Linked DNA regions of Neodiprion lecontei. The protein of the gene in region 3 interacts with the protein of the main gene of each other region in a biochemical or structural test. Links are inferred from orthologs where the notes say so. Each region holds a gene or a part of one and is shown on either strand. Other genes may lie near its edges.

Region 1 (6,542 bases), about 11 Mb from region 3:
ATGGCGCTCTGCAATCTTGCCGGAACCAGCGAGAGCGTCAGATGCAGGATTTTCAAGGAGGGGGGATTTCAGAAGATCGAACACTACGCCTACGAGGATCACGTGATGCTGACTCGTGCCGCTACTCAAGTCATCACCAACCTTATGATGTCTCCAGAGGTGCTCAAGTTTTACGAAGGCGACAATGACAGGGTCAAGTATCTCGTAATTTTGTGCGAAGATGAGGATGAGGAGACCAGTATGGCTGCTGCTGGTGCTCTGGCAATGCTGACCGCAAACAGCACCAAAGCTTGCGCTAAGATATTCGACTCGAAAAATTGGCTCGAGTCTATTCACTACCTTCTGGCTAATCCGAACAAGAGTATCCAGCACAGAGGCGTCGTTGTGGTGCTTAATATGATATCCAGCACCAAGGATGTCGCCGCTAAATTGATTGAGACTGACGTCATGGAGATTTTAATGGCGCTGACTAAAACCGAGGCCGTTGAGGACAAGACGATACGGGAATTAGCCGCTAAGGCTTTGGAAACTGCTGCCAAGTGGGAATTGATTAAGAAAAACATTGAAGACCTTCAAGGCGTTAGTAATATCAATCTGGATGATTCTGCCGCTGTCGAATAGTCTGCACTTTATACAAAGTCTTTGTGTTATAAGCTATTTTACACATGTTTCGTTACTTACCAGATCACGATTCATGATTACTTGCTAATCAGTCTTCAATTTGCCCAGATATTATCATTACGACACAAAAAAAGTTCCTGTATTTTGTTTTTCTATATCCATACATGCATTTGTTTTTATTTTCGTGGGAACTGTGTGACGTTTTCTTACATCAGAAATTATTTTAGTTATTATTGATATCACAACATTTTCATACATCATCATTCATTGTTCTGAAGATTCTAGATGAACGCACTCAAGTACTTAAAAATATTTTTGGCACTAGATAATGTTCAATCATTTTGATTTATACTTAAGAATTCTATAAGTTCATTCTTACTTACACTGTAACATAGTATTAATGCACTTGGATATTGGCAAGTTAAAATTTTGTAATTTAAATTGTTGGAAAAAATTTGTACAGTATTTATTTCGATAATATATTATAATAAAATATATTTATACCTACTACACGACTATTGTGTTTACCTGACGAAATTGAGTTATAGGAATTGTCGAAATATCAAAATTGATAGTACATTGCTAAATAATTTTCAACCATTCAATACATCTCTTTTATATACAAAAAGACAACTTTTGAAAAGTTGTTCTTTAAAATTACTAGCAAACTTGCATTTTAAATAAAATATATTAATTTTTATTTTAACGAACTTATGTATAGTTTTGATTTATATAGTACGCGACAGAAGTCAATACTTATATTAATAATAAATATAAAAATATTCTCTATATACATTATTTGAACAAACAAACACATCGTAATTGTATTGATGTTTTACAAGGCACGTATTATCAGATGAACTTTGCAGATCGTATAAATCACACTTCATCACTGTGATTCTCAGGCAACTAGAGACCAATTTTATACATTGTTGAAACGTATTACATGTTCGTTGTTTAAAATCAGGTAACAGTATTTGCAAGAATGAATTTCTGACGAGACACGTAAGTAATTAAATACAAATGGTTAGTCTGCGAGAAAAGTGTGATTTATCGCTTCTTCCGCAGTTATTCTTGTACAGTGATCTGGATCGAGCAGCCTAATTAATAAATCATATGCTGCCGAAGGATAGGCAGTATCAATTTTTTCCTTAAAATTAGAAAAAAAAAAAGAACTGTTAATAATGATATAAACAGAAAAAGAATGAAGCACATCGGCGTTAAATAAAGAAAGTGAAAATAATGAAAAATAACATTTGAAAATACCTGATTCTTGTTACTACAACTAGTGTTGGGATCCTCCTCTCGATGAAGGCTATTTCTCTTTTGTAATTTTTGACAAAGCAACTTAATATCAATTCCAGGTATGTTTTCGCTAAATGTAAGTTTTCTACCTGCATAAAAAAAAATTATTGTATTATAAATAAAAGTGCTATCCAGCTATTTGGTTCTGTGTTTAGTCGTTTTAGATCAAAGTATGATGTGAATTAATTAAACAGTAAAACGGAAAATAAAGCAAAGTACCCAATTTTTTGGCACATTGTTGCATTTTGGTCGAACCAAAGATTGTTGTTATCTCAGCCAAGGCTGTGCAGTCATCTGGCGAACGAAAAAAAGGGTGAGTTCCACTCAGGATGCAAAGCATTATGACACCGCTGGCCCAAATATCAATTGCTAAAAATAAGGTGTTTCATTTTTATTTTCGGTACTTGACTGACCAATTTTTAGAATCATGTCAAAGGATTGACGAAGGATGAATTGAATGTGTTCACCTGACGTTTGCGAAGGGAACTTGAGTAGCACCTCCGGTGCTCTAAATCCAGGCGTACCAGCACGAGGGGCAGTTTGAGCAGATTTTGATAGGCAGATAGAACATATTCGAGGTTTTCCATAGCATATGCATTGCACATCTATAGGCTTGCCAGTATTTTTTACAGGACCTGTCTCGTCATTCTGCCAATTAAGAAATAACTGATAATAATTGTCAAGATAATACAGAAATAACAAACAGGTTGAAGAGTTGAAAAAAAATTATTGATTTACAACTTCACTATGACTGAAGGTTTCGAGTTTTCAGAATGTGAGATTGGTTTTGCTTGATTACGGTTTACTGGATATTAAACTGTCCTAAAATTGTAACATAACGATTGTTCCTAAAAATGGATCGTTGCGTTAACATATCCAACTTGAATTTCATGATTTCTCAATACGTTTCGTATTAAAAATGAGATAGTCCTGCTGCCTGAATCAAAAGTTGGGAAAAGAAGGAAGAAAAAACCATCTAAAAAATTTCCAGCAATGTTATTCACGTGAATGATAATTAAGATGAATTAAACTATATCGGCACCATGTAGTTGAAAAAAATGTGGGCAAATTCGAATAACACACGACAAGATGTTGACAATGTGAGAAAAGGTTTAATAGTTGAAACGTTGAAAATGACTAGATCTTGGCGATTTTTGTCAGAATTTATGTATTGGCTCATTCATTCTGATTATAAAACCTTCTCTCAAATTGTTGGCGTCTAAGCTCAAGTAGGTTAAATTTGCTCAAATTCAGTTCTATCGCTTGGTAGGGGTGTCGTTTCATACGTGTAGACCATTACTGGGACAAATAACATTGTTAGAGGTTTTAACATGGATTTTTATCTTCTTCTAAATGTTGATTTACATGGTGACCCGTTCATGCTTAATTATACTGGCTTCAATCAAAAAAGTTCATTCCTACCACATCGTTTCTTTTTCTTTTTCCTGGCTGAGATTCAATGACACATGTTTCTGCCTGACTACTTGTGTTACTTTCAGTAGTATACTGCTGCGCTAGCCCAAAATCGACTAGTCGATACCTAAAATTTGATAACACAAGCTTGACATGTTGAGAACAATAGAACCGAGTTTTTGACCAGTTCTTACACACATCTTATGTACAGCAAATAAAAGCCACATAAATACCAGGAATTTTTAATGACTATATCACACACTTAGATGTTGAAATAAATAACTCACTGTTTCATAGCACGATTGTAGAGGAAATTACTAGGTTTTACATCCCGGTGTATAATATTAAACTTATGTACTCGCCGCAGGGCAACCAGCAGCGCTTTCATATAGTTTCTAGTCTCATCAACGGTCATGTCGTGAACATATTCCTAAAAATACTAACTCTCATTAAGTGAAACAACGTTATTAAAAGAGACCTATTTATACGTCATTTTCAAATCATAAGTTTATACTTGTTTGTATATAATTTACGTACAGCGAACCTATCATGCTTCATATACGGCATTACGAACACGATGCATTCTGCACTCCGCAGACACAAGTCCAACTCAACAACATAATCGGTACCTCTGCAAAGAATTTCAGTGTCATAGACATTTTGAAAGAAAAGCAGGCGATCGATATAGCAGGAAATAGAAACAGGTGTACCCTATGTCCTGCAAACATTGTAGCTCACGTTCAATTCTCCTCGGATGACACGTAGGCACAAGATGTTTGATGGCAAATTTACGCTGGTTTGTGGATGTCTTTAAAGTGGCTAAAAACACAGAGCTGAATGTCCCTTTCCCGATTTTACCGTGTATGTGAAACAAGTTTCCCAGAACAGGCAGCTTTCGAATGAGATATGAAATTTTGTCTTTCTCGTTTTCTAGAGTTGGAAAGAGAAATTCATTTGCTTAAGATCCATCACTGAAACTACGTTTACACGTAATACTTGTATGGTTAAAGGCAAACAAATAATTAAGACAATTTTGATGCACCACCTTCATCAACGTTGTTACCAGAATTATTAACCGAAGATACTATATTCATGGTCAAAATTTCGCACAAGAATTCAGTGTCCCGACAACTACACAGACTACTTTTTTAGGGAAAAATTCCATCTGAAAAGTAACGATCAACCAAGATTTAATGCTACAAGGATTCTCTTCGCATATTGGCGCCAATCTTAAGCTACCTGATGGAATAGAACTGCGACTTTCATGGAATAATCGACACATTTGAGTACATGTGTTCAGAAATCCGCGACCTCCGAAAAGTTTAATTAACATCGTAGTATACCCGTGTTCATAGTCTCTCCTTATCTCAAGGATGAAGGACGCCTTGATGAAGGCTCCATGAATCTCAGAGGGGTCCTCGTTTCATAGTCACAACTTGGCTCTCCCTTCCAGAAGGAAGACATACTTAGGGATATGTGATTGCTTATGGTGGTGAATCTGCTGATCGAAGCGCCATTCGGCTATATTTAAATCTAACTTAAACCGCTTGGCTCTCATTGTCAAGTTGCGTCGGTTGATGAACCTCCGTGAAGTTGGAGAAAATATGGGGGCCAACTTCACACCCAAAATTAAAATCAATTTTCCGGAAAAACTACTAACTCTCAAACGATTTTTCTTTACTCTCAAACCCTCTCAAACGATTCTCAAACGAATTGCATTAATTAGATTTAAAAATAACAACTTCGGGGGGCCAACTTCACGGAGGTGGTTGATGAGAATGTATAACCCACTGATATATATATATCAGTGATATGCTCTAAGGGTTCGACTACTTCTAGATTGCAGCGCTTCAACTTTAGCGGGACATTTCTGAAACTGACTTGCCACCACCATGGGAGTTTTCGTACCTGTCGTATCTGTGAATACGGCTGAGCTGGTGAGAAAGAGATGGATGCGGAGTAAGTAAGGAATGCTGAAAAGTTCTGTTACGAATTATCTATGCGTTGGAAGTCAAACCAGAAACAATTTTGTAACTCCAATACGCCGACAGGTCAAATTAGGAATGCTACTACAATTTTAATTACACTGTATATTTTTAAACAATACATAAAAATGTACAACATCGGGAAAAATGTTAGCCGATTATTATTACTCCGCTTGAACGTTTCAACAGGTTCAATGTGACAAAGATGTACTTCATGAGTCCCGTAAATGATTACCTTAAGCGCGCACAGCGTCATAAATTAAATTGAGCACAAGACTTATGCGTGTGCTGTAACTCTTAATTGTATAAAAAAATATCAATATTTATTTTATCTATTCAGAGATGTCATTTTTTTTTTTTACTAGTTTTGAAGGGTATATTTTGCGATTCTGAAGCCGACCTTTTCTTAGGTGAAACTCTTTTCCCAGATTGTAAGTCTGTACTATTTTGTAACATGTTTATCGCCAGAACTTCACAGTTTCGCGACGATTCACCATCCGCGGTAATTTCCATGTCTACATCGTTGATATAATGTACAGGTACTGCACTAAAATCAACTGAACTGAATCCATCTGACATAGCTTTCATTCGGAGTTCACGCGTAACTTTTTTTAGCTGCTGTATATCTTTCTGTTTGCTTTTATTCTTCTGTTTCTTCTTGTTCAGCTTCTTTGTCTGTTTATCTCTCTCCTTAGAATCTTCACTAGACTTGTCATCATCTGTTGATCCAGTTTCGACATTATGCCCATTACTTTCTGCATGTTCGCAACTTTCTATTTTTTCCTCTTTCTTTTGGTTTTGTATACTGAAAATTGAAAATACATGTAATAATAGCTAATAGTGATGAATCGAATGAATAAAATAAAGACCGTGAGCCTAATTTATTAGAGCGCAGAAAATCTTTTAGAATTACTGTTGAAAAGAATTAATTTGTGAATTGTAACATAGAACGTTCTGAAACTTACGTATTGACTTCAACGCCTAATTGATTGGCAAGTCGATTGTAAGCTCTTTTAGCGTCCTTAGCTAATGAGGATTTAGACCTGTAGATAGCCATCGTCGTTCCGACAGCTTCCCAATCACAAAAGCTCGATTGATGTTGGTGCTTTATGGTGTGCAGTAAGGTAAATAGTAGATAGACGAACTTCTGTTTTACACGGTGTGTGGCTTCAGTATTTTTGTTCTGTCCAAGTTCTTCCAGCAATTCAACACTTTTGT
Region 2 (7,544 bases), on a different chromosome or scaffold from region 3:
GCATCTTGTGGTCTTTCAAAGTTTAGAGCTGCTGTCGCATAATTTTTGTCCTGTAGCTTCATATTATCTCCACCAGGATAAAGCATGCTTTTTTGATTTAAACTGGTTCTGCTGCATTCGGTATACACGGAATTGCTGTGTTCAAAGGAGGTATATAAACAAGCTAGCATTGTTGCTAAGAACTTTGCAACTTGTCCAAAGCTTCAATCTTCATTAATTAAGGGGAGTCTTTGGTGAAACTTTGACCAAAACACGGGTTTTTAATTCTTGACTGATTAAATAAAGTCGATTAAGAAAAATCTTCTACCAATTTTTAGATTATGGTAGTATAGGCATTGAAAAAAAAAATTCATTCTCCTGCGATCAAAATGTACGTACGTACATACAAGGAACCTCTCCAAGGAGATTCTGCTCACCGCTACCCAAAATTCTTTGCGCATACACTTTCATCACAGGAGACTGTAATTTTCTCTAAAAGCCAATACTACCATAATTTGAAAATTGGTGGACGAATTTTTTTTATATGACAATTTTCAACCGATAATCAAAATTGAACCGAATTCTCTCCGTAATGAATATAATATCTGTAGTACCTATGAAGTATTTTTGGTAAGTGTACATCCCCGATACCCTCTGTGGCAGAAAAATTAGAGCTGTAACTCGAAGAATGCCTCTTTAGCTTTGTATTTTCAGAATTTATAGCTGGTAGTCGTAGTGAACGCTTAGGATGAACAAGTGTGGACTTTTCTTGACTGAAAGAGAGCCTTGACTTATCTTCATTGCAATACCCTAAAGTTAAATAAAATTGAATTTGACTGTTAATAAACTTTTACTGATATTTCAAGTTGACATAAGTTTTTTCATTACCTTTTCCTAGACACATAGGACAGGTAGTCGGTTGATTTTGACACTCCAGTGGCAACATGTTTAATCGCAGATTTGTGTTTTTTAAAATTTTTTTTAATTTTACAGAAATTATTCAATATTTAATGGGACTAGTTTCATCTGGAATTTGAAAAGTTAGTTCTAGGTCTTGAACGTGCATTTTGATAAACAATGGAAATACAAAATGACTGCCTTCAGCTTGCAATATTATACTATGTGGAGTAAACTCCTTTGATATTTGCGAAAAAATCATCAACATTCCAATTTATTCTTGTCTTTTTAGTCCTTGTGACAGGTACTGATATTAAAAAGTATTACCAATTAACGAATATCTCATGGTTTTTCCAATCACAAATTATACTATTAATTAGGTGTTTGCATAGTTACTAAAATAATGTACAACAATCAGTTGCGTAAACAGAATGAAGAGAATTATAGAAAATAGATCATTCGCCCTATAGTAAATATGGGTACATCGTTTTGTTACTGATTGAGTGATCTTTGGAATTGCTTTCTGCTTCTAGTTTGTATCACTAAGATTGTCCCACTTGCCTATTTTAATTTTTCACTTACCAAAGATATCTAGGTGAAGATATGAAATCGAATCAAACTTGTTTTGTAGTCTGTTTGAAGGAACTTGTGCACAGTTCACTTTTCTCAATTTATGTAAGCACTTTCTAGGCAACTCAGAATTCAAAAATATCCTCTGCATAGCTTCACTACCTGCTTGATTAAGATCAATCTCAATATAGTCTTATCTCCTTATACTATCGTTACACTATATTATTATACTACACGTCATTTACAAATAAATAAATTAAATCGCGTCATCAGGTCACAGAATTCGACATAGGGTGTCAAGATGTGCGTTTCGTTGATCGGTTTTCACTAGAAACAATGTGATGTTCCAAGTGATCACAATGCAACGGACATTGGTGATAAGAAACCGCACTCGCATGACCTGATCTACCCGAAGTCATAGGCACTCCTGGTTCCCATTGATCCTTGGCTGGATCGTATATTTCTACTATACTTAAAAAGGTCTGTCCGTCATACCCTCCTGTAACGGAAAAGAACAATAAAACTTATACATGAAATGAGAGAATTCAAATTGTCATAAAAAAAAAAAAAAATCGTGTCAATTACGATATATACACAAGACACTAACCCATTGCATAAAGTTTTCCATCTAGAACAGTTACGCTCAAAGCACTGCGCGCAACTGAAACATTGCTCACAAACTCCCATGAATCATGTTCCGTATCGTAACGTTCTACTGTGCTCAACTGACGAGATCCGTCATAGCCTCCTACCACATAGATGTACTGCCCAAGACTTGCTACACCAGATCCTGACCGACAACACCGCATGGGAGAGACCATGGTCCATTCGTCATTTTCTGGATGATAACATTCTACTGAACTCAATCTATGCATTCCATTAAATCCACCAATTGCGTAGAGCAATCTATAAATACGAAATTTCAGAGTCAAGGTTTTTTTTAAGTGCCCGAGAAAGATTGCTTAATGGAATCTTGAAAAGCATTCGTCATACCTATTTACTACAGCAACTCCGACTCCTAATCGTTTTGTGTGCATAGGTTTAACATTTGTCCAGGTATCCTGATCCGGGTCATAACATTCAACGCTGTTGTGATATTCTGCACCTGCGCTGCCACCTACCGCATACAATACACCATCCATTACAGCAACTCCCACTCTGTTCCTTGGCACTGACATGGGATTACAGGGTCTCCACTGGTCAAGAACTGGATTGTACCTGTCCACCCAATCACTGTCGTATCTTGAAGATGAGTAAAAAAAACTGTTTGTTAACGATTACTTGAACTAAGCAGGTGAACCAATATCTACATGTTATTAATCTCACCTGTTTCCTGGCGAATTGTTCCTTCCACCGATGGCGTAAAACATGCCTTTTAAAAATGCTCCTCCAAGTCCGGAACGAGGCACTGTTAACTTAGCATGTTGACTCCAAACTTTGTCGTCGGCATTATACCCTTCAAGAACATCCAACGAATGTCTAAGAAATCCACCTGCTATGTAAATGACTCTTGGTGTGTTGGGTGTCCTCTCTTTGACGACTGGTTTCTTATGCAATGTTAGGTCTTTAAAAATTTGCGCTAGATACTCGCGGCAGGCTGGAACTTTTTTTAAAACATCGCAATTTTTCATTTGTTCCCTAAGAAAGCTCGGAGTCAAATACTGACACCGAACTGCGTGCAATATATGTTCCATTTTAATACCGCGAGATTCCTCGTTGTATTTCACCCATTTTAACACTGCATTATAAACTTCTCTTTCTTCCTGTACATTAAGTTCATCTTTTCTAATTAAATTAATTAATTGTATGGCCGTAAGTTGAAGGAATTCTTCTTCTTGACAAATTCTGCTAAAGTGTTGCACGATAAATTGATTTGCTTTGTGATGTAAATCGTGACAACCATGCTGTTCAGCAAAATTTGCAATTCCGATAGCATTTGTTGGGTCCAATTGCCTCTCGAGAAATACGCAGCATGCATCTATTACATTGCCAACCTGTAATTCGAATGTCAAATATTTCGACACATAGCTAACAATAAGAACGATCGTGTATTTTATTCAATACATATCAGCTATGGAATACTTTTGAACATTTCTCAGCTTATAACCTATGACAATTACCTAGGAATACTGTACCTGAAACATTGTCGCCGCAGGTAATAACGAACAGACTGTTACTTCAGTTACTCTTATTTGTCCCGTGTACATGAAATACATGAGCCGAGCCATCGCTGTTGGACAAACCCCTTGCAATTTGACTCTGGTCATTTCACATTCTTTAAGACCTCCCGTGAACATTGCCTAGAATTTAGAGTAAGAAAATTTTTATTATAAACAGACACGAGGTATTGACAGTATCACTGACTACGAAGCAGTAATTGAATGAACGCTTTCTGTAATTCAGCAGTGTTAAATTATTCCTGACCACCGGGATGTTGTACTATCAACACTTCAAGTATTATGAAAAAATCAGGACTTACAAAGTGAGGCATTGATTGATATAAATGAAAATCAGACGAATTTGAATAAAGTATGTTAAATTATTTGAAGTGATTGTTTTTTAAACAATATACACGTAGTAACTGAAAGTTAAAAGATGTTTATTTCATGATTCTAGACTGAAAGTAATATTAGCTGGGAATAACTAGATGTGGATGAGGTGTAAAAAAATAAAATGATACCTTAAAATAAGGACTTGCCGCAGCCAAAATGACTTTGTGTGCATGGAACAGTTCTTGTCCAACTTCTAAGATAACGTCGGTAAGCATGTGATGACTTCGCATCATAAACATCATTTTCATAGCTTCTTTTATATAATTAGCCATGCAAAATGTCATATCGCCAAGGTCTCCATGTTTCTCATTACCCGGACTAAGGTTCTGGTCCTTTTCTTCACTGGTATCAACTGCTGCATCACTTCTACCGAATGATGTGAAATTACACCGACTTCCTTCCATCTGCGAATAATCCTCTTCACCATCCATGATGATCTATCATAAGCTAGGTAGAAATTGAGTAAAATTACTTTTACTGTTATCAATCTGTTATCACACGTTCTGGTTGTTTTGAGGGACTAAATAGTTTTTCAATCATGTCGTTATCTCAGATTTGAATACAACGTAAAATGTAATTGACAATATTAAGTCTATTTGACAAAAGAAAATATTTCCATTCAAACAAGTACAATTTTCCATACAGTATGTGACAAAAGCCTAGATCGGAAATGACAATGAATAAATGATAAGAAAAAATGGAGTTAAGTGAAATCATAAGATATTAGATAAAAGAGTATATCGTTTCTATTTGTGGAATTAATAGTTTCATTGATGAACGTCTTAGCATTGTTATACATCTGGTCATTCTGTTGGAATCTAAATATAATTAACTTTAGTATTACAAGTGCAGTTATTGCATATTGCGTATGAAAAGTAAATTTGCGTACAATCAGATAGGTGTACCAAAATAGGCATGTTCTGGCAAGCACCGGTATAGCAAACAAGGTGTACCAGAACAATATTGTGTGTGACGTAAACTATATTTTGGTTCATTTTGGTAGCTGTACCAGCGGCTTGCCAAAAAATGCCTCATATGGTTTTTAACACATGATACCGAGCATGGAGTATCGATGATGAAGAAATGCAACACATGCACGGGCGCAGCAAGGGTTTCGGAAATTTAAGCGGCCCATAATATTTATTAGGTATTTCTATAATAACTTAATGTGTGTATGTACCTTGTGTCCGTAGCGTTGAACAGATCCGAATCAGATTAACTTTGAGGTTATAAACCACACAAGTAACGATTTTGACTATGTATCTCCAGAAAATGACACCATTTACCAATTTTACATCCTGAAGAGTTTTCTGTTTATCATGATTCCCGCATGACAATGAGTGTTTCAAAGAAATTTGTAACGACTACACTTGGGCGAAACACAACAATACGGTATGCAAATTAGCGCACAGTAAGTTGACGGTGTTAAACGTCAGTTGTGTATTATTTTATTTTCACGAGTATTTAATTTTCCACCGCCCAACGTGTGACAAAGTGGCAGAAATGTCAAAACTGAAATTTACTATTTACGCAACGTGTCACTTTAAAACGCGCGAAAAAACCTGCACGTTGATATCCACGAGAAAAAGAAAAAGGATCGGCAAGAGGACAAACGTTTTTCCAAATATGCGATTTTAACATCTCGATTAGTTGTTGGCCATTGAGTATAAGCTCTATATCACCTGGAGGGGTCAAATTTCGGCTAGAATGACTTGCTGATTCAAATATGTAGTTATCTCCGATCATGCGAGCTTTCAGCCTTTGGCACGTAACTTACTGGCAGCGCATTCATACGATATGCATGTGTGTATGTACGTAAGTACGTCATGTAGGCCTCTGGAGAAGGCACTCGTATAAAATATACACACATATAAGTCTATTGTTGATTGAATAGTTGTCGGACACTCGCGACCAGATATCCGTTGATGAATGGAATTAAAATGAAATAACCGCAAGGGGTGTTCACTATGCAGTTGTCAAGGAATCAAAACTGCCGTCGCAATATTTTGATAAAATAATTCGAGTAATATGACCTATACATGTCCACACATTCACGCCTGCAGGTCAGCTTAGCTAGCTATTAGCCTTGCTTATTTTCCGAAAGTCATTATGACTATGCGATTCACGGAACGTACCCAGGAGACCGAGTAAAAAAAATTTTCGTACATCACGTAGACAGCTGTTTTTTTTATCACAACTATACTCAATGTTTTCTTTCGTCTTGTTCTTTGCACACTCAGGGGACCTACAACTGTATAACGATGTGCAACACTGATGCACCTTTATAAGATCATTTTCATTCAGTTTACGAGTGGTAGATTACTATTGGACCCGCGGGCCTTGAGGTAATAAACGCAAGTCTCGAATGACAATTGACATTGGTATTTTCTAATCGAAGCAATGTTCGGTTACGTATCGTTCATTTGACGAAGAATTTGGTGGAGAGGACAAAGCAGTCTCTTCATTTTAACATCGTTTCATACGGTTTACCGCAAAGGACAATTCACACTGTGACCTCTCTCACAATAAATCTTTGGAGACAGAGCATGACTGGCTTAAAGCCACCGCAGCATGAGATTGCTTTTTCCTTTGTACTTTACACTTTATCTGTACATTATTTATAAATCTATCGTTCACGCATACGTGTTACGTATCGCGGCTATTATACAGGAATATGATTTAGGGAATTCCAGAGATAGATACAAGATGTAACATAAGGATCGAATGGGATGATTTAATATATAGTCTCAAACCTGAGACAATATAATATTTATTTTATAATAATATGGAGTTTTCATCAACAATAACAGTGTAGTAGTAGGCGTAACAAGAGAGACGAGGTAGGTCACGAGGAACCTAACCTAGCTTACAACCGTGCGCTACCAGGTCGCGAGTTAAAATACTGAAATGCTTTGATTTAAATAACTGAAAAATGATAAACTATCAGGCGGATATGATCGCGATTCTTTATACTGTTTATACGGTTATCTTCGTTACAGAGTTAAGCCTCCGTTATTAAAATTCTTTCAGAATTGTATACTACAAAGGCAGACTTGGCAGCGCATGATTAAGTCAGCCGGGAGACCAACCTTTGATTCAGACTTTATTTAGCGTGAGAAATAAGATGATTTTCGTTTTGTGAAAGATGGCCCAAAACAAGATAAAGATAAGTAACAGAAAAATCTTCCACGTGACTCACTGAAATATAGTACGCATTATTATATTTCAGCGACGTGTCTAGATAGAAAACAAAGGACAGTAAAGCGACTCAACTAAATCACAGATTGATCCCACCTGTTTAAATATTACAGCTAAAATTAGTTTAGTAAGTCTATGTTTGATTTCCTTAGGCTCGGGTGACTCTAGACTGGCCCCCTATTATTTGTATTTTGATCACTCTTTAATAAATTGCAATATCAATTAGTTATTCCTCATCATCTACTGTAAGAATTCAATTTATCAGAGTTCGACATTGTAGTATATTATTATGTTATATATTATTTATTTGTTTATTTATTTACTTTTATTTATGTGTTTATTTTATTG
Region 3 (8,348 bases):
TAAAAACATCCTGTATCCTAATTAGCATTTTTCAAAGCGAGCTAAGCCTGTAGTTAATCAATACTTGTTGGCTGTCAAATGACTCAAAATGATATATAATATAAGATGCAATTTGATTACGTTACGTTATGCCAAACTTTGGAATTTTATCGACTTAACAATAATGTGAATAATTGAATACGTTCAAACCTCAGGTGAACCCACCACTTAAACGACATCATCGGTAAATTCAAACGCAGATTATTACATCATTTGCAAAACACAATTCAATCTCGCGAATGCCGAGTATGCGATGGTTACCTGTCGCGATGCTCATTCCACTCTTAGCAACGTGCAAAATTTCTAACTTCACGTAAGCTACGGTAAATTGGGTAGCGAAAAAAAATTATTCGACCGAAAGTCAAGCACGTTGCCATCGTGAATGAGCCTATCCATGCAGCTAAGAAATCGAAGATTTGTGTAACAATTGTTACCGCCACGCCACGTGACAGAGGAATCCCAGGGAAATACCCATAACCTAACACATGCAAACTCACCAACGTTGCCGAGAAATAGAAAAGTTACTCGGAAGTCTCTGCTTAAATCTGTGAAAAACAAAACAAAAGATTTGAATTAATTTAGCAGATTGGATGTTATGCAAGAACAAAAGTTCGCCTTTAACTTTACCACCTTGAATTATCAAGCAATAATCAAAATAAGTATTCTTACCTCGACTCTGGGCTGCTCCACACTTTTACATGTAGTAGTTCTTGTAGCATCTTAGGTGAATTGGTGAAGCGACGCACTTTTTACATAATTCAGAACTTCACTAATCTCTTATAATCCAAACATCCACACCGCAATGACACTCGATTCTACACTCACTTTTTGTGCTGTAGCTGTCTGAACCGACTGAATAAACTTGCTAACAATGCAACTACGCATTTGTCGAAAATCAGCCAAAAAAGTAATAAAATTGACACTCGACGCACAGAGACAAAAATAGACATCATTGAAATCCGAAATTACACAAAACAAAGAAAACTCGGGACACGTATTTCACCTTCAACGTTCACAACTACTTATAACAACGCGGTCTGAATATTGAACTGCTCTGAATACACGCGGTTCCGCTCCAGCTGCCCATAAACGACTGATTCCGCACGGCGCTCAGAAGAGAATCAAATCAGTTTTCTGAAGGACGGAAGATAATAATTCTTCCGCTCTCCTTGTTTCTCTTTCCATGGAGTGGGGGTAGCTGTACGCGCCTGCCAGGCTGTTTTTCTCCCTTCTCTCCTCTCGTGGCCCCCACTCCATGGGTAGAGCGACAGAGAGAGCGGGAGAATTATCATCTTCTGTCCTTAGAGAACCGATTGAAATCCGTTCACGGGACGCTTACGCCGTTGTTTGTAAAATATTTTTTCCCAAAATTGTTATTATACACTTCCACACAAATAATGAACAATATTTCTCGGCAATCCTCTATCCATGTATTGAAAAATTTGAGTCAAGTCCAAAGGACAGGCATCAAAACATTGTATAATCTGTTGTAAAACAAAAATGTAAATCAATAAAAGAAATTTTACCGTTAACTGAGAATATGTACTTTACGTTCTCGTTGACCGAAGTATATATGTCGTAGGCATCTAATAAAATCGGGCATTTAATTAAAAGCCTAGTCATCTAATTAAATGCCGGCATTTAATGAAAATCGTATTGATGTCTTTCATTTACTATTATCGTTTAGAGTTTAGAAATTTTATGCTCTAAGGTTGTCACAGACAACCAGCTACACTAGCAGCCGGCGACATTTCGAAGACCTTCAGAATTACTGCATGCCAGGGGCTTGGCTACTTTAGAGTTTGTTTTGGCGTCCGATTTTCCGGATCACGGATTATTTTATTTCATAATCTATACGCAACTATCGCAGCTGCTTACACGCTCGCACCTGACTCTTGTGGTCTATTCTTATATGTCTGTGACTCTAATTTACTCTACCCACCAATAATTTTTGTGCTAAACAAGTAAGAAAAAAAAAAATGAGAAAGATTAAAAAAGTTAGGCGGCTGAACTCCATGATACCGCAAAGACTGAATTTCACCACCACGTTTCACTTCTTCAGTATCTATGTTTCACGGTTCCATATTCCCGCGCAAACAATTTGCCTCGCCGCGTTAAGTGTTTACGTTTGTAATATATTTGATACTTGATATTTCTCGGAAAGATTTGACGCGTATTATTTATCAGGAAGTATCGCATAATACGAATGATGGCGGATCCCATGATAGAGCAGAAAATTCAAAACATGGTGCGAGAGTATGTGGATTTCCTAGATGATCAGGTTTGTAAATCTGAAATGAAAATTCACCCTACACCGGCAACTCCTAACCTTAATCATAACCCGATGACATTTTTTCATATTTCCAGGAAGATCAGGGGAGATACACAGATTTAGTTAAAGCAATGATCGATGAGAAAAAACACCGACTCGTTGTGAACGTCAACGATTTAAGGAAAAAACGTCCAAGCAGAGCGGCGAGGTTAGTTTCACCAAGTTGACTGTTGTCTTTTTAGCAACGACGCCGAAAGTCAGCTAGCCATGGGTGGTATCTTGAAGTTTATTCGGATCTCATGAAAGCAATGTCAAAAAAAAGGCATGTGAATAACTGCATGTCGTAACATAGTTAATAATCTGACGTAATTTCATGTGGATCTCTGCCCTTGGTACGAGTTTCAAAACAATCCCTTTGGCTATCTACCTAGAGTAGTCTGTAGTCACTTAATCTTATACACTGAACTTAGATACGATTACTCCACTTGAAGTGGTAATTCCTCCACCCTCGGAGAATAGATAGTTAGCCACTGATGTTAACAAATTATGAAGTAAAATTTTTTTTATAACAATTATGTAGTTTCTAATATACCGTGTATTCTATCTCAGTATACATTAAATTATATCCAGAACTGCCACTGACTTCACAAACGGAAAAAATTCAGGCCATGTTATTCTTTAAGAAGGTGTCCTAGTCGATTTTGACATTGACGTATACATCTCCAAATATTGAAGTTCGTGTATCTCGAACGTGAACATGGGCTTAACAGCCCCATTCTATACATAATTCTTAACTAAAACATTCCAATACATTTTTATTCGACGCAGAAATAAAGGAATGGCATGAATTCTATGAATTTAAAATTGCGATTTCATAGAAACCATGCCATTTCCTTTGTTTTGCATCAAATGAAAATATATCTGAGTATGTTCTTGTTCATAATTGAGTATAGAAACGCCAAAAACAATTATTTCACTGTAAACTACATTGGATAATTGAGAACATGTATAACACATTTTTTTAATGAATTTCTCAATGTTTAAATGTTGGCATTATTGGTAATCGGAATGTGAAGAGTCAGTTCAAAACGTCTTCTAATTAAGTGATTTATGTATATTAGAGCTGTATTATACATATGTAAATTTCATAAACACATGCATACTCAGATATAGCAATCACTTCAATAACAGGAGATTTCATAAAAATGGCAATGTTCACTGTCATTAACTCTGCCCAAGCTGTATCTCCTTGACCATTTGTAGAAGAATATCGAAATTGTAGATTGTATACTACTGAACGTCTTATGATTTCAACTTTCTGCTACTGAGATGATAGAAACACACAAAATCTATATCACGTGAATTAGGTTGATTTCGAAATTATCTGTGAGACTTTGGATTTAATACTCTTTCCAAAATTAAAACCTCCCTGTATGTGCATATTAACTAATAAATTCGTTGGCGTTTAGTTTGCTAAGCAACTCTTTTGAGGAACAATTGGCCTTCCAAACTGCATTGAAGCAGTATGTTGAAACAATCGATCCGTCATACTGTAAGAACCATCCAGATTTGTTCATTGCGTTTGAGGGCAGCTTTGGTACCAAACATACGACGCCTCGAACTTTGACATCAAGGTTTCTTGGCAATTTAGTGTGCGTTGAGGGTATTGTTACGAAATGTAAGTTGAAGGATAAACCTATGTAGTGGCCTAAGAAAATCAATAGAATGTGATCGAAAATAATAGTGTTGTTAATTTATTTTTATCTACAATTTGAAGGCTCTTTGGTGAGACCCAAGGTTGTCAGAAGCGTTCATTATTGCCCAGCGACAAAGGTTGCCACCGAAAGACAGTACACAGATCTTACTTCTTTTGATCCATTCCCAAGTGCCAATGTTTATCCAACTCAGGTAATGAAACACAGAAATATACATAGTTGATGGTTTCATAATATTTAACAGAACTTGGTTCTTGACCTCTGCTAGAGCAATTTATTGATTATATATTAATTTGAGGTGTTAAAAAGTATAATAATGTGACTGATTAGGACGATGATGGCAATGCGCTCGAAACTGAATACGGATTATCGAGTTACAAGGATCATCAGACTTTGTCAATCCAGGAAATGCCTGAGAAAGCACCGGCGGGACAGTTGCCTCGCAGTGTGGATGTAATCTGCGATAATGACTTAGTAGACTTATGCAAGCCTGGAGACAGGGTCCAAGTAGTTGGAAACTACAGATGTCTTCCTGGCAAACAAGGAGGATTTACATCTGGAACATTCAGGTGTGAGACAGTAGCAAATTTGTGTTTTGTTGCTTCATTCCAGCTGGAAAGTTTTTTTTATATCTGACTTTTAAGTATGAGATCATCTCAATTAATGATATTATCGTTTGTTACATTCTTCCAGGACTATTCTTATTGCGAACAACATTTCTCAGTTGAACAAGGATGCCAATCTTAAAATATCTCGAGCTGATCTTACAATGTGCAAAAAAATGGCCAAGAAAAATCACGTGAATAACATTTTTGAACTGTTGAGCAAATCTTTAGCTCCATCGATACATGGACACGAATACATTAAGAAAGCTATTCTATGTCTGTTACTTGGTGGAGTTGAGAAAATTTTACCCAATGGAACAAGATTAAGAGGGTAATTTCATAACGTTTTGAGATCTAAATAGTTTTCAAGTAACATTTTTTTTTTTTTTTGTAACATATTGGAAAACACAATTAAGAAGGGCTAACATTTTTCAGAGATATTAACATTCTGCTTATCGGTGATCCCTCTGTTGCTAAGTCTCAACTCTTGCGGTATGTTTTGTGTACCGCTCCCCGAGCAGTTCCTACAACTGGTAGGGGCTCTTCAGGAGTTGGTCTCACAGCGGCTGTTACAACTGATCAAGAGACAGGAGAAAGAAGGCTCGAGGCTGGTGCGATGGTATTAGCTGATCGTGGCGTCGTTTGCATTGACGAGTTTGATAAAATGTCTGATATGGACAGGACTGCCATACACGAAGTCATGGAACAAGGAAGAGTTACTATAGCCAAAGCTGGAATACATGCCAGTTTAAATGCACGCTGTTCTGTATTAGCTGCCGCTAATCCTGTATATGGTCGAGTAAGTATGCATTATTGAACTTTTCAATTAAAATTTCAAAAAATTTTAAGTCCTAAATAAACTGTTAAAACTTACTCATTAATTAACCTGGAGCTAAATGTCTGAGCAGTGTCTTCAAAAGATGTAATTTTCTTCTAATTGAATTAAAAAAAATGTGTGTCTCACAGTCGCACTGACTAACAAACCTGGCAACAAATTTTCAGTATGACCAATATAAAACACCGATGGAAAATATTGGGCTACAAGATTCGCTGCTCTCTCGATTTGATCTTTTATTTGTAATGTTGGATCTGATTGATTCGGATCAAGACCATATGATAAGCGATCATGTCGTAAGGATGCATCGGTACAGAAATCATACAGAAAAAGAAGGTGAAGCTTTGCCAATGGGAAGCAATGTTGATTTGCTCAGTACAAAGAATCCAGATACAGTAGATGACGAGGAGACAGAAACGTTGGTATATGAGAAATACGATCCTCTGTTACATGGATTATCTCGTGCAAAAAGGTAGAATTTTTCCAACTCAGTACTATCCAACTTGTCACAGTTGGATAAAGAGTATCACATTTTCCTATAACTTGATGTATTATTTTCAGTGATAAAATACTCAGTGTTAAATTCATGAGAAAATACATCCATATAGCGAAGTGTATGAAACCAAATCTTACGGAAGAAGCGAGCGAAGTGATCGCAAATGAGTATTCTCGTCTAAGATCAGAAGATACTGTTGAGTCCGATGTGGCAAGGGTAAAGTTATCAAAGCCATAGTTTTATGAAATCTAGTCAAAAATTTTGCTACTTGATTTATAGAAATCAATGAGGTGATTTAATGCTTAATTTCTTTAATAATTGTGAGACTTACGTTTAGACACAACCCATAACTGCTCGGGCTTTGGAAACTCTCATTCGTCTTTCAACGGCACATGCCAAAGCGAGACTCTCAAAAGACGTTACCGTGGATGACGCGTATGCGGCAATAGAGCTGGTTCAGTTCGCCTATTTCAAGAAGGTGCTGGAGAAGGAAAAGAAACGACGAAGAAATACAAGTGAAAATGGCACACAGAGTGCAGACGAAGAGGATAGAACTAAAAAGCGCTCAAGAAGAGAAAAGGTTGTCGTTTTTAACAATTTGAGATGCTCCATATTTCATTGCGTACTTTAACACTTGGATTACGTTTCAGAAACAACCTGGAGAGGATGGCTACGACGAGTATGAATTCGATAGTGAAGATGAAACGCATATCGATGAAGCTATTCGAAGAACAACTCGTTCACAAATTGTAAGAGTTGAATCTGCTCCTCGAAATGGTTCAAATGTGACAACAATTTCTTCAACTGAATCTGCACAAGTTGAAGAAACGAGTCCTGTCACCATTGACAAAAATAGGTAACGAAAGATTAACAAATTTAATTTGATTAAACTCAATGTGACGAGCTAATAAATTATCTTTCGCGGCTTATGAATTTTTTATAGATGTAGATGAATATTTTGAAATTCATTGTTTTTACTTGGATTTTTTTAAATTTCTTCGAAGATAGTTTCTTGTCATATATTTCTTATGCATCTAATTGAAATTTTTTTCATTTCCGTTTTTGGAACAGGTTGGAAATTTTTCGAAATGCTCTACAAAGATTGTTCCGCGAAGAGCGTTCTCAGTCACTTCCTCTGTCAAGGGTACACGAATACGTGAACAGTCAACATTCTCCAGACTTCACAAAGGCGGAAGTTACTGCTGCTGTAACAGAGATGACAGATGCTAACCAAATTATGCTGGCGGATAACATAGTTTTTTTGATCTAGGTAAATCTCACATGGCTTTTTTTTTATTTGTTTTTTTTTTTTTTGTGTCGTTTCACTACAGTTGAATAGATCCAACTTCTTACCCGGTTTAAAATGATTCATATAAAATTATTTTTGTAATTTTCATCTATTGGATATAGTGTTTTATTACGAAACTAATATGTCGATTTAAAATAAAAAAGATAGAAACATCATGAATTTATTTGCTTTATAGATGAGACATTAATTATTCCATTTTCCTAATTGTTTTTGTATTTTTGATTTTGTGATAAGTCAATCTATAACTGTACAGTAGAACTCATATATAATTGAAGCTACAGGGTCGAGAATTTTAAGAATTAGAATTTATGGGTTACCCTCTCCATCAAAATATTCATCTAATACATATTCTGTCGCTGTCTCCGAATGCTCTATGTATTGCGCAGTACAGTAGTTGCATTGAAAAGAGGCAAGATCAGCAGAAGCAACTTCCCCCTCTAAAGTAGGGGATGTTGAATTTAAGTGGTTCGAATTTATAGGAGTTCTGTTGTATGTAAAGAATATAGTAGAGAAGACATTTGCTTACAAATGTAATTTTGGAAGGTCTTTTCACGTTGTTTGGCAGTAAAAAAAAGGGATTAGAAATTACAGTAACATTGATCAGCTCTATGTATAATTTCATAATACAACACATTGGCACATAAACTAGGCAACAATGATCAACATTTATCACAATAACATGAACATACTTTAAATCTCTACATATTCCATTTTTATGTAAATATATTTTTTAATTTACGTACGTATATTATATACATATATATATATATACACACACACACATATATATATATATTTATATAAAATTTCCCTATAGTGTAGGGATACAATACTCTTACTGTATCTCATTGAATTTCAAGCTCATACAATCGTTTTTAGCTATTATATGAATATTTTTATAATACGCACTAATCCAATATTATCTAATTATGTATTTTCTACCCCCATTGCATTCCGAAACTTCTTTCTGTTACACAAGACTTTTCCCAAAGTTTATTCATACCCAAACCATTTGATTTATTTACCAGATTATCACGTATATGTAATGTTTACATCGTTTTACTGATTTTGTTTTAT

What was found.
Region 1: the proteins of DNA replication licensing factor Mcm3 (region 3) and cell division cycle 7-related protein kinase form a complex in vitro, tested with the Homo sapiens proteins (2 studies listed by BioGRID and IntAct, with this or other methods). The link is inferred for Neodiprion lecontei from reciprocal best matches to the Homo sapiens genes MCM3 and CDC7.
Region 2: the proteins of DNA replication licensing factor Mcm3 (region 3) and kelch-like ECH-associated protein 1B form a complex in vitro, tested with the Homo sapiens proteins (2 studies listed by BioGRID, with this or other methods). The link is inferred for Neodiprion lecontei from reciprocal best matches to the Homo sapiens genes MCM3 and KEAP1.

Annotation. Positions count from the first base shown.
Region 1 is NC_060261.1:17,270,941-17,277,482, reverse strand, and holds cell division cycle 7-related protein kinase, read right to left. Parts: upstream 4,651-6,542; 5' UTR 4,434-4,650; coding exon 4,385-4,433; intron 4,270-4,384; coding exon 4,050-4,269; intron 3,971-4,049; coding exon 3,877-3,970; intron 3,770-3,876; coding exon 3,627-3,769; intron 3,467-3,626; coding exon 3,349-3,466; intron 2,575-3,348; coding exon 2,394-2,574; intron 2,296-2,393; coding exon 2,146-2,295; intron 2,016-2,145; coding exon 1,888-2,015; intron 1,772-1,887; coding exon 1,649-1,771; 3' UTR 811-1,648; downstream 1-810. Other genes in the region: protein unc-45 homolog B, read left to right, coding at 1-621; myb-binding protein 1A-like protein, read right to left, coding at 5,670-6,129, 6,290-6,542. UniProt on the Homo sapiens protein: Kinase involved in initiation of DNA replication. Phosphorylates critical substrates that regulate the G1/S phase transition and initiation of DNA replication, such as MCM proteins and CLASPIN.
Region 2 is NC_060263.1:38,076,024-38,083,567, reverse strand, and holds kelch-like ECH-associated protein 1B, read right to left. Parts: upstream 5,744-7,544; 5' UTR 5,179-5,743; intron 4,446-5,178; 5' UTR 4,430-4,445; coding exon 4,127-4,429; intron 3,747-4,126; coding exon 3,582-3,746; intron 3,441-3,581; coding exon 2,773-3,440; intron 2,689-2,772; coding exon 2,440-2,688; intron 2,353-2,439; coding exon 2,054-2,352; intron 1,946-2,053; coding exon 1,743-1,945; 3' UTR 926-1,742; coding exon of another isoform or gene 868-925; 3' UTR 811-867; downstream 1-810. Other genes in the region: uncharacterized protein LOC107225684, read right to left, coding at 1-135, 594-789, 868-925. UniProt on the Homo sapiens protein: Substrate-specific adapter of a BCR (BTB-CUL3-RBX1) E3 ubiquitin ligase complex that regulates the response to oxidative stress by targeting NFE2L2/NRF2 for ubiquitination.
Region 3 is NC_060261.1:28,714,676-28,723,023, forward strand, and holds DNA replication licensing factor Mcm3, read left to right. Parts: upstream 1-2,139; 5' UTR 2,140-2,245; coding exon 2,246-2,320; intron 2,321-2,406; coding exon 2,407-2,519; intron 2,520-3,780; coding exon 3,781-3,989; intron 3,990-4,088; coding exon 4,089-4,219; intron 4,220-4,356; coding exon 4,357-4,595; intron 4,596-4,719; coding exon 4,720-4,962; intron 4,963-5,066; coding exon 5,067-5,430; intron 5,431-5,633; coding exon 5,634-5,938; intron 5,939-6,027; coding exon 6,028-6,178; intron 6,179-6,299; coding exon 6,300-6,542; intron 6,543-6,612; coding exon 6,613-6,818; intron 6,819-7,033; coding exon 7,034-7,232; 3' UTR 7,233-7,829; downstream 7,830-8,348. UniProt on the Homo sapiens protein: Acts as a component of the MCM2-7 complex (MCM complex) which is the replicative helicase essential for 'once per cell cycle' DNA replication initiation and elongation in eukaryotic cells.